Arabidopsis thaliana: one gene and its partners. The protein of the gene in region 4 interacts with the protein of the main gene of each other region in a pairwise test. Each region holds a gene or a part of one and is shown on either strand. Other genes may lie near its edges. The genes, in order: ERD2, KCS1, AT1G76520 and BTI2.

Evidence for each region.
Region 1: the proteins of BTI2 (region 4) and ERD2 interact in a two-hybrid assay, tested with the Arabidopsis thaliana proteins (one large-scale study listed by BioGRID).
Region 2: the proteins of BTI2 (region 4) and KCS1 interact in a two-hybrid assay, tested with the Arabidopsis thaliana proteins (one large-scale study listed by BioGRID).
Region 3: the proteins of BTI2 (region 4) and AT1G76520 interact in a two-hybrid assay, tested with the Arabidopsis thaliana proteins (one large-scale study listed by BioGRID).

What each region holds. Positions count from the first base shown.
Region 1 is NC_003070.9:10,257,715-10,263,162, forward strand, and holds ERD2 (ER lumen protein retaining receptor family protein), read right to left. Parts: upstream 3,519-5,448; 5' UTR 3,193-3,518; coding exon 3,102-3,192; intron 3,095-3,101; exon of another isoform or gene 2,848-3,094; intron 2,703-2,847; coding exon 2,437-2,702; intron 1,730-2,436; coding exon 1,614-1,729; intron 1,215-1,613; coding exon 1,141-1,214; intron 1,055-1,140; coding exon 991-1,054; intron 903-990; coding exon 866-902; 3' UTR 534-865; downstream 1-533. Other genes in the region: AT1G29320 (Transducin/WD40 repeat-like superfamily protein), read left to right, coding at 39-96, 190-524. UniProt on the Arabidopsis thaliana protein: Required for the retention of luminal endoplasmic reticulum proteins. Determines the specificity of the luminal ER protein retention system. Also required for normal vesicular traffic through the Golgi. This receptor recognizes H-D-E-L.
Region 2 is NC_003070.9:56,656-61,243, forward strand, and holds KCS1 (3-ketoacyl-CoA synthase 1), read right to left. Parts: upstream 2,561-4,588; 5' UTR 2,324-2,560; coding exon 737-2,323; 3' UTR 509-736; downstream 1-508.
Region 3 is NC_003070.9:28,713,168-28,718,441, reverse strand, and holds AT1G76520 (Auxin efflux carrier family protein), read right to left. Parts: upstream 3,678-5,274; 5' UTR 3,059-3,677; coding exon 2,921-3,058; intron 2,814-2,920; coding exon 2,734-2,813; intron 2,660-2,733; coding exon 2,535-2,659; intron 2,445-2,534; coding exon 2,323-2,444; intron 2,233-2,322; coding exon 2,083-2,232; intron 2,010-2,082; coding exon 1,917-2,009; intron 1,824-1,916; coding exon 1,723-1,823; intron 1,603-1,722; coding exon 1,364-1,602; intron 1,278-1,363; coding exon 1,153-1,277; 3' UTR 532-1,152; downstream 1-531. Other genes in the region: AT1G76530 (Auxin efflux carrier family protein), read right to left, coding at 1-35. UniProt on the Arabidopsis thaliana protein: Involved in cellular auxin homeostasis by regulating auxin metabolism. Regulates intracellular auxin accumulation at the endoplasmic reticulum and thus auxin availability for nuclear auxin signaling.
Region 4 is NC_003075.7:6,837,406-6,841,984, reverse strand, and holds BTI2 (VIRB2-interacting protein 2), read left to right. Parts: upstream 1-1,948; 5' UTR 1,949-2,406; coding exon 2,407-2,659; intron 2,660-2,980; coding exon 2,981-3,161; intron 3,162-3,250; coding exon 3,251-3,392; intron 3,393-3,482; coding exon 3,483-3,552; intron 3,553-3,639; coding exon 3,640-3,809; 3' UTR 3,810-4,074; downstream 4,075-4,579. Other genes in the region: AT4G11230 (Riboflavin synthase-like superfamily protein), read left to right, coding at 1-83, 157-316, 399-608, 700-828, 914-992, 1,085-1,194.

The DNA of each region.
Region 1 (5,448 bases), on a different chromosome or scaffold from region 4:
AAGTTGAGTCTTACTTATATATCATTGTTTTATTGCAGGTTTTCTTGAAGCAGCATCTTACAGGTCTTGTATTCGACTCGGGCTTTTCTGGAGAAGGTTTGTTTGTTTTCTAATGCCGTTCACAAATCGCATCTATGTTTGTATTCCTCTGTTAGTATGTTTGTAAAATGATTGGATTCATGGTTGAAGCAGAGACAGCTGTAGCAAACACAGTGGCTGAGGCTGCCACAGAGGAGAAGATGACGATCATGGACCAGGAAGATGATGAAACAGAGAAGGCTCCTGTGAAAAGAAAGAAGTCAAAGAAAGAGAAACGCAGTAGAGAAATAGTCTTTGAGGGTGAAGACGATGAGGAGAATGAAGACGAGATTGAGAAGGCTCCGGTCAAAACAAAAAAGTCAAAGAAAGAGAAACGCAGTAGAGAAAAAGTCTCTGAAGGTGAAGAGAAAGACGAGCTAAGAAGCAAGAAGACACGAGAGCACAAGAAGAAGACCAAGATAGTGAAACACAATCAAGAAGACTAGGTTTAAGTTTTGAAGACACATTGTTAACTTGGCTCTGATCTGAGCTACAGTTTTGAACTAAACACTCGCACAAAAGAAACAGAGTTTGTGTGTTATCTATAAAGACTAGTTTTGATAAAACGATGCCTCTTCTCAATGTCTAAAATCGTCGGGAAAGTTACAATGTGCATTAAAGACTAAAAAAAAAACACATTTTAAACAACAATCCTGCATCATTCAATTTTCAACTCATTGTTAGAAAGAGGGAGGACCCAAATGTTAACCATGTCTTTCTTTTCTAATGTCACCATTGCTGTAACTTCCTGGATTTTGATACTATTGCAAAAAAATTCGGGTTCTTTTCAAGCCGGAAGCTTAAGTTTGGTGTTGGTTTTCCAGCTACAACAAAATCAAAAAGGATCCAAAGTCAGTAACATGATCAGTAACTATAAAGAGAATATTATTCAGACTGGTGAGGTTACTTTACCTTATGTAGTAGTAGTAGAAGAAATCCGCATAGAGAGCTGTTTGGACAAGACCAGACACACAAGCTGGAAAATGGATTTACGTAAAACATTAGCATTGAGGAAAAACAAATGGTTAAAATGCATTTAGTGCTTCTTTGTTGAAACATTACCAATCCATCTAGTGAAATGATCTTCTGTGAAATAGCGATAGATCCAGTTGATAATATAGAGTCCCCGATACGCCCTGCATGTTAATCATTGCCCATGTGAGTGCATACAGAATACTTACTCAATTTTGCACATTGAAATATTGTGCACTGGACACAAAGGTATGCATCAGAACCAAATGCATAGCAAGATGTAAAGCAGTCTGATTTCCTTTATAGAAAAAAATATAGTTCAGCTCAGCTTCCAGACGCATTAACATTAAACGGAAAACAATGTCTGGACTTTAGAAATATGCACTGATTTTTAAACACCACAATGACACTGGAGAGCGATTCTCATTGATCAAGTTAACAAGTGCATGAGCAGTGAAAGACACAGTATATATATAAGATAAACCAATTCTAAAAACAAACCCAACAGAGAAGCCAGTGGAGATCAAGTGAGCAAACGCATATGTCTGGTTAGAATTACGTACCCGAGAAAGACAACATATTGCCCAGTCAAATTGTCGACATTCCCACTTCTTTGTAGCAGAACCAACTGGGGAAGGATAGCAACTGCCTCTAAGTAGATAGAAAACGCCCAGAACACCTGAAATGGTTTGGAATGCACAGAATTAACATATTGCACAATGATTCTGGCTATCAACACAGAGAGGCCACAATGCTGCAAAAATACTTAAAGAGTGAAGGCAGTTTGCAAAGATCAGATCTTTACCAAGAGCATATACTGGAAAAATACATATGAAGGTAGTAAGGGAAAACGATCTTAGTGAAGTGCATATAAGGAGTCACTACAGTTTCTTATGACAAGATAATCAAAGAACACAATGGCCAGAAAAGTAACAGCGAGATACAGATGACACTAATCCATGGGGCACCTTATGGAACATAGGTAGGTAGGACACAGAAGATTCCATGAATGGAAGCAAACAAACCTTTCACGATGCAACAGTTTGATATTCAAAGAGTTTCTCAAAACAATCAGCGAGTGAGAGGCTACATAGGTAGTACAACGTTTAAACAAGCAAAAATAAAACTATAAACGCCGGACTCCTAATTGGTTCTGGAAGGAGTTATGTTCAGTTTCATTTACATAGACGATATTCTATTCTACACTAGCCAAGATAGTTACCAAATCCAAATGATATAAGAAGAAGGAACCGAATGAATCAAATGAATAAATAAACCAAAAACAAGATTACACAACATATGCATGTCTTCTAACAACAAGTATTCGCTTTCCTAGTCTCTACAACCTAAAAACACAAAAGCAATGTGAAATTCATATGAAAATACCTCTTGAACTGTGAATTTTTCATTCAGGATAAGTCCCAGTACAAAACACGCTAACACAACATACTGATGACGAAATGTGTCCAGGTCCTTATCGTATGACCTCCTCACAAGTGGATGCCTACGCATACACCAAACGATAGCCAAAGAGCTGGCAATGAAGACAATCTTCATGATGCTGTTGTACAGAGATACATAATCCGTAAACAGATCCAAGTACCGAGTCAAGAACACAAGCGCATAGAGCTCTTGAGTCTTGAGAGAGATTCCTAGCCAACAAAATCCAAAAGTCAACAGCAACAATGTTAGGAGCTGCACAATCTATGAGAAAATCATGAGCATCTACAAGCATTTTCCATTCCGTGTAGCAATTTTCCGTTAAACCTAATGCAATTTAGGGGTGAGAGATCTCACTCGTTTAGAAATTCCATAGTGGTTTCGAAGATTGAGATTTCACAACTATTTTGACTTGCAATTTCAATCTACCAACTCGGATTCGCCTCGAAATCGATAAATAGACCTCAACAGGATTCAAATAAGATTGCATTTGAAAGCTATGGAAAGGAAAACAAAAGGTCAAAGCAAAATGCGATTGTTTCGTCTACGAGCTCGTCTTCAAAATATACACAACACATTTCATGAAAGAGAGAGAGAGAGAGAGAACTCACCAGCGCAAGATTTCGTCGCGTAGATTTTGAGAAGAAGGATTAAGACACTGATCAAGTGACTCATATCGCCAGCAAATCTAAAGATATTCATGGTTGACCAGTAATCGATAGAGACTCACCGATTCCAAAATTTTCCGGGAAAATCCAAAAGAAGAAGAGAAAACGAAATCGAACGAATTTTCTCTCTTCAAATCGAGAGAGAAACGAAGGAAGAGAGAGAAAGAGAGGCAAGGTGCAGCACGTTTCAGGTTTTGCAGAAACTCGTTGAGAGGAGACGATGACGTGGCAATCTGGAACGGTCTTTCTTCTCTAACGTGTGTGCTTACTTATTTCCTTAAAACTGCAAATTAGTCCTTCATTATTCGATTAATTATCGAAGTTTCCCTAAATAATTACCAAAAGAGAGCGTTTTAATTTTCAAAAGTGGAGAGGTGGTGTTATCTGGTACGTCGCACCTTGGTAAACTAGAAAGCGCCAGCTATCGGTGGGTCTATATTGCATCATATTAAGCCACGTGTTAATAGAACAGTGATGTGGCAGCTTCGTACGCGACATGGTGTGGTGTTTAACTTCAATTTTAATTCCTCGTGTTATCCACGTGTTTTGTATTTGAGAAAAACAGTTAGAATGGACCGGTTAAGAGTTGGTTATTAATAGATATGGGCCTTCTGTTATTATTTATATGGGCTTTAGCTCTCTGTGATAGATTAATACCCAATGTCATACCATGAACATATGCAAACATGTTTTAAAATAAAAAATTGAATGTTGATTTTTTTTTTTTTTTTTTTTTGGTTATGGAACGAAATAGAAGTGTTTACAAACTAATGTGATTGCAAATATGTTTTTTTTTTTGGGTGTATAATAATATTTGTTCTACGGTTGTTTTGGGTTAAACAGTATAGGATTTTGAGATTTTTGTGCTAGCTGTTGTCCTGACTCCTTATGATCTAACTCATTTTTTTTTTTCTTTTTTGCAAAGATGATTGAAATGTATAGTTTAGTCCATAAAATTATAAAATGATATTCAATGCTTCGCTTCAACGTTCAAGACTTCGTTTTTCTAGTGAACTAATAGACAACCATGAAAATGATGTATGAACGTCATTTAAAACAAGAATAAATTGTATGAACGTCATGACTCATGAATATAGAGGACACGAGAAATTAAACATGTTTGTTTTTTCTTTATCGTTAGTCAAAGAAAACCTACAGTATCACTAATAATACTCTTACGTTAGACTCCGTGGTCGGTCCGCTTGTTGCCTGGAGTGTTCGACTTTATCGATTATAGAGAAGTTCTATATATAATTTTATTTAATGGCGTATTTTAAAAAATCAACTATACCATTTTCAATTGTGTATAGACTATTGACTATAGATTATAGAATTTTTCAATGGCCACTAATCAAACAGTTCTGAAATCAAACAAATAGCTTTTCTGACTACATTGAAACAGTTAAAAATAGATAACATCACGTGACGGGATTATCTATGCTACAATGAAACTACGGCAATCGACAAAGTCGCTGCTTTTGTAATTTCATGTTGTGATGATGATTAAGGTGGTTCAGACGTGTGGTTTTATAGGAAACCGACTTTGTTTACATTTACAATAATTTCTTACAATTTTTAGAAATTTTGAACGTTTTACGATGAACACAATAATTTCACATGTAAATGTAAATAGTATCAAACAAAATCATTTTGTAAATTGTAAGCGCAAATACCAAACAAAAATGAAATGAACATGTAATGTAATATGGTATTTTTGCTTATAAAAGAAGCATATAATGTAACAAAGAAAGTTTTTACTACACATTGCAAAAATATGAAATAGTTTGATGGTAAACTGATCACATAGAAAAATGTTTGAATTTAGTTGGGTTAGCTTTAGTGGATTCTTTAGTTGTAATTTGCAAAACGCAAAACTTGGTTAAAGAAAGTGAACTTCCCTTTAGCTTAACATTTTTCTACACGCGCCTTCAATGTTTCAGCGACACGTTGCACTTGCATCTTTCCAGAGTCAACGCTTCACTAGCATAGGTTTCTTCTTAGAGCAAAGAGATGTTTATTGTCTGATAATAAAATTTACTCATTGTAACATGTGTTTTAATTATTGGAATCTTTAATAGTGTAATGTAACATTTAATTTCATACAAAAAAACGTATAATTTTAAAACATATACTATTATTACTTCATGTTAACTTATAAAAACTTCGTTGTAAAACTTTGGAAAAATCGATAGCTAAAACTTGTTTTTGTTATATTATAGTAATTGGAACAATCGGCAAGTTTAACATACAAAACACTAATAATCGAAAAAATGGCAATAAGAAAAACAAA
Region 2 (4,588 bases), on a different chromosome or scaffold from region 4:
GCAGCATGCAGCAGCCAACGAGTTATGTGTAGATGCTGGTTCAACCAACTCGACCTATATGGGTTATAGTTATACGAGTTGTTGACCGAATTTATGGTTCAAGACTTTCAAGAACCAAGAGAAATTGTAATGGAATTGTTTGTATATATTCTTTTATTCTTTAAATTGACTTTTTTTCATCACAGATTCTCTAATTGACTCTCTTCGTTACTTTTACAAAGGTACCAGAAGAAAAAAAACATTTTATAATATGAGGTCGAAATATAACATTTTATAATGGTGAAACCTTCAGAAGATGAAAAATTCAAAATAAAAACCTATGGAACAGTAGTGGATAACGTTTGGTCCAAAAAAAAATCAAATTGTTGAATGAATGAATAAATCTACACCACAAATTCGCAGAAAAATAAAAATAAAAAGGTGTATATCATAAATTAATTGGAGCCAGCGTAGACTATATAGTATTTGTTAGTATGCAAGGTTTGCTTTATCATTTATGGGTGTGTCATTCATTCATGTGTGTGAACGCAGACATAGTGGATTAGAATTTTGTTTGACTTGAGTTAAATTTTCAAATTCTGGTTTACCAAAAGTATGAATAATCAACTAACGTATACCAAACACACATCCATAAATTAATTAAATTATATGATTTTCAATCGACAACTTACATCAACAATTAAAAAATAAAATCAAGAAGAACACAATTACATATATGATTATCCGGTTCAACCAATCATTGCACAACTTTAACCGGATATTGATCAATCGAACCAGCCCAAGCATTACCGGTCATCTCCTCCGTCGAAACCGGTCGTAACGCTTTCCAAACCGCACTATTACACTTGAAACCCGATCCAAACGCAATCTGCCAAAGTCGGTCACCAGCTTTAACCCGACCCTTAGCTTCGGTATAAGCCATCTCATACCAAAGCGAGCTACTCGAAGTGTTACCAAATCTGTGCAAAGTCATTCTAGAAGGTTCCATGTGCCAATCTTTGAGATCAAGATTCTTCTGCACTTCGTCTAGAACCGCTCTACCTCCTGCGTGAATACAGAAATGCTCGAAAGCTAGCTTGAAATCCGGAATATACGGTTTAACTTTTAACTTGAACATCTTCCTTTTGACCAAGGAAATCAAGAACATCAACTGCTCTGACAATGGAAGAACCATCGGTCCTAAAGTCGTGATGTTTGTTTTCAGAGCGTCTCCGGCGACAGACATGAGCTCTCTAGCTAAAGAGACACCGATTGTTCCTCTCTCGTCTTCCTTCTGGTACACGCAATTGTAGTTCTTGTCGTCTGATCCTTTATGTGTTCGAACGACGTTGACCAGCGAGTACTTTGACTTCTTCCGGTCTTGACGGCGGTTAGAGAGGAGAATCGCAGCTCCGCCCATTCGGAAGATGCAGTTGCAGAGGAGCATTGACCGGTCATTTCCGAAGTACCAGTTTAGGGTTATGTTTTCCGTGCTTACCACGACAGCGTAAGAATTAGGGTTTGCTTTGAGGAGATTGTTAGCGAGATCGATTGAGATTAATCCGGCGGAGCAACCCATTCCTCCGAGGTTGTAACTTTTGATGTCTTCTCTCATCTTGTAATGGTTCACGATCATCGCTGATAGAGACGGCGTCGGATTGAATAAGCTGCAGTTTACTATCAAGATTCCGACTTCGGCCGGTTTAATTCCGGTTTTCTCGAAGAGGGAATCTAAGGCTCCAAACATAACGGCTTCAGCTTCGGCACGTGCCTCTGACATATTTAGCTTCGGGGGCGTTGAAGTTATGCCACGTGGCAGATACGTCTCGTCTCCCAAACCGGCCCGGTTCGAGATTCTTTGCTGGAACTGAACCGTGTCATCGGTGAATGATCCATTTTCCTCAGTCATCGTCAAGAACGAATCTACTGATATTTTACGCTCGTCTTCCGGTTTGTAGCAGGAGAAATCCACTAGGTAAACCGGTTTAGACCGGTTAGCCACGTAGAGGGTCAAAACGAAGGAGAGGAAAACCAAGCAGGTAAGTCTCGTCGCCGTGTCGAGTTGAACCGCCTGGTTAGACCAAAGCTCAGAGAACGTATCGAACGTTAGACCGGTTAGCTGAACCAGCACGGTTCCGGTTAAAGGAAGAATAATTAAGAAGAAGAGAATGGTGGTCACGTTGCAAGAGTTGTGAAGTCCAAGCTTCACGTATTTGAGCTTAACGGACGTTAATAAATCCGGCAAACGTCTTCGAATTCTTATAACGGCCGATGATGAATCTCGAAACGCCATCTCCGCCGTTAATCTCTCTCGATCCATCTCAATGCTGTTTGTTCTCTCCATCAGTATAGTTTTGGGTCGAAATATTTCAAACGTAAATCAAGGAAGGATTGAAGATAAAATGTAAAATCTTTAGGCAAATTTGGAGAAATAGAAAGAGAGAGAAAATGAGAATGGGAATTCTAAAATTGGTGAATTAGGAGGATTTTGGTGAAATGAGGGCAAGTAGGGATGGAGAGATATATAGAGTGCAAGAAAGATAAAAATATTTTAAAGATTAATAATAGTAATGACTTAACAAAAAAAAAAAAAAGATGGAATAATATTCGAATTTAATGATGGGTGGTTCCGAGATAATACTATTAGCTCAACTACTTATATGGGACCTTGATATTAAATTAAGTAGTCAGATTATTTTTCATGTTTTGTTCACACGAAATGCAAGTTACAAAAGTCTAACAAAACCTAGCTGAATCTCATAAGTCATATGGTAGATCATAAATTTGGTTTATCTTTTTTTTCACACATATATTTGGGCATCATAACATTCTATTTTGGTGTAACCTAATTTTTTTTTTTTTTGAAGTTTTTGATAAACAACATAACTTGTTAATTATACCACTACAACACAACAAAATATGACATGTTTGTTATATATTTCCTTATAATTAAACTTAAACGTTTTAGACATCCATGATGTTTTTATTAGCAAGTGTATGTAGGTTATCCAAAATTGAGTGAGGGCAAGTTATAAAATTATATATCAATTGAATATTATAAGCAGGTTGGCTGCACGTAGTGCAAATGCACTGGGTCAGCGACGGGTAAGTTGATATAATATGTTGTAAATAGTAAATTTAAAGGGAGAACGTGTTCGAGAAACGTACCTCTCATTCATGAGAAGCGTTCACTGTCCAAATTGCAAGAACAAGGGTAGACGAAAGCGTGTCCCAAATATTCAAATTTGTTATTTCTTTGTATAAATGTGTATCCCACATGCATACAAACTCCTTAATATGGGCCATGGTAAATTGATGATAATGAATTACTATGACTTCTTAATAGCAGCACATTTCGATTTGTTTCTCCATTATATACCATCCCTATTAGCTGTTCCAGTATTGTAGTCATTGTCATTTATAAATTTGCTGTCTTCGTTAAGACGTTTGTTATATAAGGGACCCTTTACATAATGAATTTATTTCATATTATAAATCTGATAAAGAAGTAATTAGTTTTGGAGTTGCATATCTAGTTAGTTTTCGAGTATTTTTCTAGTTATTTCATATTGATTGTGCCAAGGTGTCCAAAATAGACCTCGGACGGGTAGTTGTAGCTTGTAGCTTTGTAGGTAAATAAAATGTTCGGATTTGAGGTCCCAAAGTGGACTTATTGTCCCTGTTTTGTTTTCATTGGGATAAAGTTGTTGGTAAAATGTAATGCTTTTAATAGTTAAATCATTTCTAATATCGTGATTACTGGGAAATAATAGAGAAAAAGAAAACAAAGACAAAAGGCAGCGACGTCGTTTCCATAATATCGTGATTACTGCATGAAACACATGTTTCAACAGTACGCATACCAACTCTCAAACTTCAATATTGGAAAGATCCAGTTCATCAGATGCTAATAATTCATATATTTAGGTTTATGTACAGCATAATGAACAATAGAGAGAATTAATCAATAAACAGATCAAAGTATTAATTTGCAAGATAAATGAAATAATGATGATAATAAATGGTAGACTAGTACCCATGTGTAGACATAAACCAACAATTAATGTTGGTCGGCTTAATACCAACTAACTAGAAACCAGTCCGTCATCAATGTATGAATGTACACACTCACATCTTGCAATAATTTTAAAAAGGACTAACAATTTAAATGGTTGCTACATAAATAAACGATATAGCCTTACATAAAACTAGCGAAAAAGGTTGATATTGGCTGTATAACATGCACAGTACTACCAGGCTCTAACATGCTTCAAAATACCGAATGATTCATTAAATTGAAACATTAGAGTAAACATTTTGTCGTGGTCTTGTATTTGAATTTCAGTATATAACTGTATATAATACAATATTATTGATTTTAATGGTTTTTCAAACAATTTTTTTTTTTAATTACTCGAATTTTTTCTTAATCTCGAATAAGAAAGATTAATGCTAATATATGGAATTATAAATATTTGGTCACGATTAATCCGAATCCAACTACGAATTCGATATTGAAAATGTCAATATCATCATATCACCAGATAAATAAATTCTGTCAATTGTTTCTGTTGCCAAATCGTAGTCATTTGTTTTGAATAAATCTATG
Region 3 (5,274 bases), on a different chromosome or scaffold from region 4:
TTCGATGAAGCTATGAACAACTCCAAAAGCTTCATCTCTACTTCCAAAAGTTAGAATCTGCAAACTTAATCCATATATTACATGATTTGAGATAAAGAAACAATGAACCAAACGACGATAACTTATGGAGAAATCAAATGAAATGGTATAGTTACCTTTTTAGAGGAAGAGTGAAGGAGAGATATAGAGTAAGTATTATTTTTGTTCCGTATGAAAAAACCAACGTATCATAACCACCAACTCTTTATCTGAGAAAAAAAGAATACAAATTATAAGGGAACCATCGTCATGCCTTTAGTCACAGCGACTAGGAAACGTGCCATGTTACTTTGTGGTTCTTGCTGAAGATGTGGATATGTCGCATTGTGTTTACCGTATGGTAAAGAACAATAACGTTGATTTTAAAAAAACTTCTGTTGTTGTCATCTATTTTCTGAAGAATCGTTTCATAAACTAAAATGTTTCAGTACTATAATTTTTGTTTTTCCACAGTTTCACTAGCTACAAATTTATATATTACATATAGTATATCTTGGAGTCTAGCATGCACTTTAGCCCTGATGTGGAAGGTTATACATCAAAATCTCAAATATGACGTGATGAGACATTAATTGATCTTAGAGTACGATTAGGTTTGAGATACATGGACACAGATGTAAAGAAATTTATCACAAAATCCACCAATTAGAGCTTTTTGTCACCACTCTTTTCTCTCATCATTTGTACTCACTTGACTGATATGTAATAGTCTATTAAACCAAATGTAACAATCTGAAATTTTTCTCAGGTGTACCAAACTAAACAAAGGAATAGCTTTCTGCCATGGCCACAGTCACAAGTAGTCAAGTAGATTGTTCTCTGGTTTTACCCTGTTTCAAGAGAGAATGATTTGGGTATCATAACAGAGATTTTAAGCCTCACAATCTCTTGATGGATCCCAAGACAATGAGGATCAAAATAGCAGATTCTTGATGAGGCTGGACTTGATCTTCTATCTGTAAGTTACAGACTGTAAGTCCAAAGTTCGTATCAAAAGACTTATAAGTATATGTTCTCTATTATACTTGATCCAATCATCTGGAAGTCCAAGAACAATTCTTGAATCAATGGAACAAAACAATACATGTAACATGATGAGTATGGGGGTCTATTCTAAGCTACAAGCCACATGAAGAATGTTGGCCAAACAGTGAGTGCAATCGAAGCCAAAGAGTAAGTCCAGAGCATAATCACTGAGCATTCACTCTCCCCAGTTCCAAATAACTGAGTAATTGTACCTGCAAGAGTAAGTGAAACTAATGAAGTGATCTTATCTGAAAGAAGTAACTGTATTTTTTAAAGAGTTGGTTTCAGAGCAATGAACCTAGATTCATGGCTGGTGGGACAGCATATTGAAGAAGAAGAACGAATTGGTATAAGGGCTCTGATGTAACTAAATCCAACTTATATGCTCCTCTTACGATTAAAACACCGCTCATAGGCAGTAAAACGTAACGCGCAACCAAGACGCCGATAATACTGGACATTTTCATTCCTGAACTCCTCAAACCTTTGAGTAGGTTTCCTCCTATAATCATGGTCATTGCAGGAACTGCCCCATCTCTTCAGCCAAAAGAAACAAGACACATAAGAAGCTTTCGAATGAGTGAGTTACGTTTTTCCAAGAGATGATTCATTGTTGAGCTAATGCTAAGATAATGGTCTAATTTTAGCTGCAGTTACCCCACTAGAGTTACTGAGTCTTGAAGCACCCGGAGAGGAGCTTCCGTGCCGATTATTAGCTTCCTTAAAGGAGTAATGAGCCCGATCACAAGTGCAATCATCTGGAAACAGAAGAACAAAAAGGGTAATTAGAAAGATTACACTAGTGTGAGTGACGTCTCAAATGTATAAAACAGAGCCATTGAAACACAAACCGCAGCAATAGTTGATGGAGCAAAAATTGTCTTAAGGTTGACTTTTTGTGACAGTGAAACCAATCTCCGCTTGACTTTTTCCCACCTCCCAGCCTGTCATATACACACAGTCACTACCAACTTTGATAAATGAATAGTTACTGATCATGTGCATATGTGATGAAACCTTTTGGTTGTTTTCTTCTTCCTTGGAAGAAATAAGGGGAACTTTGTAGCTGTCGTAGTTGGATTCAACAGAGGGAGGGGTTTCAACGGGAGAGTTCGATAGCACACGCATAAGATTGTATACATAAGTCCATATGTAAATAGATCCCATCTGATACGTTACCAAGTACTGTCATGAGACATACTGATTACAAAACCTTGAAGAAGAAGAAGACAAAGAAGAAGAAGAAGAAGAACTTACAGCCATGGAGAGAGCAACATAACCCATTCCATATTTCTGGCAACTCTCAGGATCTCCAAAGGGACCTCCTTTTTCTTTACAAACAGCTGGGATTATAATCAGTGGCATATTCCCCAAATTCCCTGTTTTGTTTCATTCATTACCACAGTCATAAGCAAAACACAAGTTAAACAGATTCTGAAATCAGAAACATTCATGTTAAGGTTTGTTACCAGCAGCACAACAACCAAGAATGAGACCACGAAGGTGTGAAGGAGGCTTAGTGATGACAATAACAATCCAGCCAAGTAATGAACCAATGATGAATGTAAGCAGAACATTCACCGGCATGAACCACCTGCAAATCCTCATTTTCATTAACCAAAGAGCAAAGATTACAGACTCAAGATGCAAAATCTGAGATTGACTTACATTTTGACCAAGCTTTCGTATGTAACACTATCAGCTAAACGGCTTCCAATAAGCGAAGGACTAAACACATAGAAGACAATCTATATACACACACATCAAGAAAATGATAACAAAACAGAGACATATTAAAGTTGAATCATTTAGATTTATTAAAGAAAAGAGTAAAATTAAGTGATAATTAACTGACGTTGTTCAGATATTTACGAGCATCATGACCAAGAAGATTGACTCCATCGAGAGCCATATAAAATCCGACTGATGTTATCAACAGAATCTCAACGACTGGTTTTGATGAAGTTATGAACAGCTCCAAAAGCTTCACCATCTTTTTACTATCAACGCGAGAATCTGCAAGTATAAGTTAACTGTAGCAGAGGAAACAGAGAATCAATGGAGCTGCAAGAACCGCCGAAGAAAACAGAGCAATCCAAGAAGGGAATGAATTTTTTAACCGATTTAGAGGAAGAGAGAGATTTATCGTCAGTGGTACAGCTAGATGACAGTGAGAAGCCGCCGTATCAGAACTTTCTCACTCTCTCTCTATGAAAGAGAAAGAGCGTCTCCAAAATTTGGCCTAGTACAACACTTGCATGGTCGCCTCTTCATTCTATTTAAATTCTTGTCTATCCACAAAATGCTTTTTTCAAGAAACTAATCTCTTTATTTGGGGCAAACTTAGAAACTAATCTTTTTAACTAAGGTAAATTATTATTCTATGCATATGGGAAGAGAATTTCATATTTTCATCCTACATATTTTGTATGTACAACTTGGTGTCCGCATGATCCGGGTCAGACTTTTACATCTTCTTTGTTTTTGGAATTGTTTTGTTCCGTATAAGCAACAAAATAACGTATCATAGATTCATAGTTAGCTCCTTTTTGAATTCCAACTTTCACAACTTATGAGTTATGATATATCTCGTAAGTTTATGTCCTTTGATTTTGTATATTTTCCAATTTTTTGTAACCTAGTTTATGTACAAAAAGAAAGAGGAAACAGTTCCACAATTTTTGGAAAACTCAACTCAAGCGGGGTCTTTGTTTGTTTCGTATATTGTCGTATAACACTATTGAGAATAATAAGGCTTTATCTGAGAAGACGAATTTATATGGTAACCGTCGTCATGCCTTTCGTCACATCGACTACGAAACGTGCCCCATGTTTTTTTCTGGTTCTTGCCCAAGGTGTGGAGATATTGCAAAGTGTTCATCGATTGTTGAAGATTTATTATTTATTTTATTTTATATATTTTTTTAAAAAAAACATTTTTCTTTTTGTCATCTATTTTTAAGGGGAATTGTTATAAAAATGTACATTTTCATATGCGTCGTAAGAAATTTGAAATGGAAACAAAACTGAATGAGAATAAGATAATAGTGTGGTGGCTTAAATTAATTGTGTGATGGAAGCGTACCAACGAAACGATCGAATATTAATGATAACGGAAAATTCAAATTAGTGTGTGAGGCTGCGACCAGTGTCCGTCCATAAAATTCAATGCAAGATATAAATGTAACAACCCCAATATCAAAATAGTCGACTAATTCTTACCAAAAAAAAACAATTAGCGAATAATTAGAATTATCATACAGTGCTAAAAATATGTATATATATATATACGAGATACAAATATTTAAGTATATATTGTCAAAGTGCAAATTTTAGTGATTTATTAATGAAAAATACACAATAGACTGGATAATTGTAGAAGTGGGATATATTATACACACTACAATAAAAATCTCTTATGTGACTCGAATCCTATAACTCTTCTCATGTGAAGCAAGAGATATTAGACCATCCTTAATTCCTTATATGTAAGCTTATTGTATATGCAACAAGCCTAATGAAGGCCATGTCATGAGCTATCTTCTTATTTATCTATCTTATTAGAGCATGAATAAACTTGTTTGTATAGGATTTCTACTCACACAAGAGACTTGTGAATATGTATTTTTAAAGAGGTTAATTAACAGTATTTGATATTTCTATGATCTCATAGCTATGAATATGATGATTCAAAGAACGTGAACAAAAGATATCTGTAACAAAAAGAAAAGGACAAAGATATGTCAAATTGAAATGCTCCACTCGTTTTAATGTCCGTGAATGAAAATAACAAACTTGACATATATTGAAAATCTTGATTTGTACTATTGGAAATGTGGGGCATCAAAGACTATTATTCCCTAAAAATAATGGTCCTTAATTCATTAGAATTTTGGACAAAAAGCTTTGCTTAATTCTGTACCATTTTGCTTCGAATGAATATGCTCATACTATTTGTTATCCTTTGGATCCACACCAATTCATTAAATTGCAATTATTTGTCACTTTGACAAGTACTATACCTACATACTGAGAAAATCATCATCACCATAATTGTAAAGTTAATCACGTTAATTATATGCTAGCTAGTCTATAATTAAAGATTCAAACACTATATTTTTTTGGTACAACAAAAACTCTATATTGAACATGAACGCACAATGCTTCGATATTTCTTTCTCTATCTTTAGTAACAAATAAAAACACAAC
Region 4 (4,579 bases):
AAGAAGGCATTCTCAGTGGTATGTCATGCCCCTGAAGCTGGAAAAAGCGGACTTCTCAGAGCAGATGTACCAAACCAAAGAAGGTGCATAAAATTCTTTAAAATTCAATATATTATTCTCAGAATGTGAATTTTGATACTCTCTCTTGTAATATAGTTTTCCAGAGCTGTTGATAGATGGACCTTATGGCGCTCCAGCGCAAGACCATTGGAAGTATGATGTGGTATTACTGGTTGGCCTTGGAATCGGCGCAACACCTTTCGTTAGCATTTTGAGAGATCTACTCAATAACATTATTAAGCAACAGGAACAAGCTGTGAGTATAACAAGCTTAAAAACCTTGTTGATGAGTAACAGAATCTCAACTAAACTTTTTTGGAGTTATGTTATATTCTCAGGAATGCATCTCAGGTAGTTGTAGTAACAGCAACATCTCGTCGGATCACAGTTTCAGTTGCTTAAACTCAGAAGCTGCGAGTCGGATTCCGCAAACTCAACGGAAGACGCTGAATACCAAGAATGCTTACTTTTACTGGGTAACACGAGAACAAGGCTCGTTCGATTGGTTCAAAGAAATCATGAACGAGATTGCTGATTCAGATAGAAAGGTAAAAACAATACACTTATTCATTTTAAATTCAAAAGATTGTATGATTTCAAGTTACTCACTGACGTATTTGTCTTGTGAACAACTACAAGGGTGTTATTGAGATGCACAACTACTTGACTAGCGTCTACGAAGAAGGAGATACTCGATCCAATCTTCTCACTATGATCCAAACGTTAAACCATGCCAAAAATGGCGTCGACATTTTTTCAGGAACCAAGGTAATGATCTTTAATGATTAGTTGATTACTTTATCACAAACAACACTCTTTTCTGATCTTGTATAACAACTTTTGGTTATTTTAGGTAAGGACACATTTTGGGAGGCCAAAATGGAAGAAAGTTTTATCAAAGATTAGCACCAAACATAGGAACGCAAGAATTGGTAACACACAGAAACATCAGTTCACTGAAATGATATTCGATATCGCGGTGTATATTTGCCTTGTCTGAAGAATGTTTTTTTGTTTGTTACAGGAGTGTTCTATTGTGGAGTTCCAAGTTTGGGGAAGGAACTTTCAACACTCTGCCATGAATTTAACCAGACGGGAATTACCAGGTTCGATTTCCACAAAGAACAGTTCTAACTGGTAAAAGGATTAATCCCCCACGATTATGGTTTTTTGAATGAATGAATCAATGTTCATGTTCGTTCTCGTATCCTACTTGTTGTGTTTTCTTTTCGTTTTGTGTATCACAAATACCAACTTTTAACCATTTCATCTAGAGTAGGACTGTTAAAAAATGTAAAAAGTCACAGTTAAAGCTTGTGAAGAAAAAAAGAGTGTAAAGGAGTAAAAATGAGAAATTCAAACAAAGGGGGATGATGGGATCATTGGGATGATTGGTTCTGTCTGTTCAATTGTTTTCAAATTTGAGCACTTATTATTGGGCCTGTCTTTGAGCTCTCTTATTATTATGGGCCGATAACTAGTTTGGCCCATTTGGTTATCAACTTGAAAATGAATGAAGAAAGCTGGGGAAAAGGGTCTTTTTAAACCCGAACTGACTCAAAAGCCTCAAAAATTTCACTGTTCCTTGGTTCTTGACCGGTTTAGAATCATGGTTTCGGTTTTGAATCATATTTGCTTTCTTGGACATGAGAAAGTAACTGGGCTTCATCATTGTTTTAGCTCATTGGGCCCATATTACGACTCGAGCTAACGCTGTCAAGTTAAATGCTTTTTCACTTTCTAGAGCATTCTTTTTTAAACACTTCTTTTAACCAAGAGACGGTTCCTACTTCTCTAATATTTTTATTTTCTAGTTTTTTGGCCAGCAGCAAAATATTATTTTAATTTAGTGTCAAGATAATTAAATTATCATTGTCTTTTGAATGCAGACCGAAAGTACATGAGTCACATAAGCAAGCGGCTACGATTCAACCACGTGTCACATGACCACCGGTTCGACCGTTTCTTTGTCCAGCCGCGTGACACCTGAACCAGAAAAGTTTAATAGCCATTTTAATAACAGAGCCGTTAATTACACGTGACTTAAAAAGCCGTTATCCTTAACAGCGTTAACATCTCGGTCCTGTGAAAACACTTTTTATATGTCCCCACGACATTTATCTTTTCCTAAGCATCGCTCTAGTTAAGGAAGCAGCAGGTTTGGATCCGAACCAACCAACGGATCAGATCAGAAACAAAATATTCAACGGCTCAGATTTATTCTAATTTTCCTCCTTTTATTGTTGGTTTTTTCATTCGACTTCGAGATCTTTCTTCTCAGAGGTGTAACGAAAACGCTAGAACAATAACTTTGATCGTTCTTCTTCTTCTCTTGAATCGGAAACAATGGCGGATGAACATAAGCATGAAGAATCTTCACCTAATTTGGATCCAGCAGTGGAGGTTGTAGAGAGGGAATCGTTGATGGAGAAGTTATCGGAGAAGATCCATCACAAAGGTGATTCGTCGTCTTCATCATCATCAGATGACGAAAACGAGAAGAAGTCTTCGTCATCGTCTCCAAAGTCTTTGAAATCGAAGGTTTATCGTTTGTTCGGAAGAGAGAGACCTGTTCATAAGGTTCTCGGCGGCGGAAAACGTATGTTTACTCTGATCCCGTTTCGATATTTGTTCTCAGTTTTTTAAAACGAATTCGTTTGCGTTGGCTTGATCTGTTTGATTTTCTCACTAGTTTAAGGGATCCGTGAAGAAGATCGTTTGAATCTACATAGAGGTTTACATTGATTTGAATTCGATTTCGATTTTGATTTCTGACTAGTTTGAGAGAATTTGTGATGGAATTGATTTTTTTTTTTTTGGAAATGTGTATAATGATCTTGTGAGATTCTTGTAGTTATTGATGATATGGTTCTTATTTCGTGATTGATAAACCCTAATTTGGTGATCTTTTTAATTGCAGCGGCAGATATATTTATGTGGAAGGACAAGAAAATGTCAGGAGGTGTATTTGGCGGTGCTACAGTGGCATGGGTGCTATTTGAATTGATGGAGTATCATCTTCTTACTCTGTTATGTCACGTTATGATCGTTGCTCTTGCTGTGTTGTTTCTATGGTCTAATGCCACTATGTTCATTCACAAGTAAGTTTTGTGGTCAATCATATGAAACAGGTCAAGGTTGTCAAGCTTATTTGACTCATCTTCGTTACCAAATTTTCATTCTCTTTCAGGTCTCCACCAAAGATTCCTGAAGTTCATATCCCTGAAGAACCTCTTCTTCAGCTTGCTTCGGGTCTTAGAATCGAAATCAACCGTGGGATCTCTTCTCTTCGTGAGATTGCGTCGGGGAGGGATATCAAGAAGTTCCTCTCTGTATGTTTAAACTGTCCTGGACTTACTCGTTACTCCTCTCTCGATGTCTCACTTAAGTTTGACACTTATTGTACTGTTTGATTGAATTAGGCTATTGCCGGATTGTGGGTTCTATCGATCTTGGGCGGCTGCTATAGTTTCTTGACATTGGCATACATAGGTAACACTTACTGTTGCTAAAAGTATTTTGCTTCTGCCTTCTCTCTTATTCTGACATTGCTGATGAACGGTTATTGATTTGGTCCAGCTCTGGTTCTGCTCTTCACTGTTCCTCTTTTCTACGACAAGTACGAAGACAAAGTAGACTCATACGGTGAGAAAGCAATGGCTGAGTTGAAGAAGCAATACGCTGTGTTGGACGCAAAGGTATTCAGCAAAATCCCAAGAGGACCGTTGAAAGACAAGAAGAAGGATTAGTTTTTTTTGGGGTTTTTGTTTTGTGTGGGTTTTCTTTGGAGTGCAATGTGCACAATGCTCTGGTTTTTATACACGTGGGTTGTGTTGTGTTGTGAATTGGTAATCTAAAAGGTTATGTGTTAGATCTCAACCCAAATTTTACTTGACAACTTTGCTTTGTTTTTGGAGTGGTTTGTGGCATTAGCACAATGATTGTAGTCGTTCTCTTGATCTATATTTTTAATGTACTGATTGATTTCTGTGTTTCTAATATGGTACGTTACTCAAATATCGTTTTTTCTCGATTATATATTTGTAGTATGTCTTGATATCAAACAAGTCAGGATGGCCGAGTGGTCTAAGGCGCCAGACTCAAGTTCTGGTCCTCGTAAGAGGGCGTGGGTTCAAACCCCACTTCTGACAATTTAGATTTTTATTTTCTCTGAGCTCATTTTTTAAGTGTTTGTTACTTTATTTGTCCAAAAAATAAAAATATAACATGTTTGTATATTTACTGGTTATATATATGTAATAAGTATGAATATTAACAAATGTCAGTATGGCCGAGTGGTCTAAGGCGCCAGACTTAAGTTCTGGTCCTCTTACGAGGGCGTGGGTTCAAACCCCACTGCTGACAATTTATATTTTTGTTAATTTTAAATTATAATTACCTTCTTTTTTCTTTCCTTTATACTATGTTTTCTCATTTAACCATGTTTTTGTTTTTTCTTAAACGGTCTTATGTTTCTCAGGTAACAATCAGCTAAATAAGTAACTAGTTAAAAGTTAAA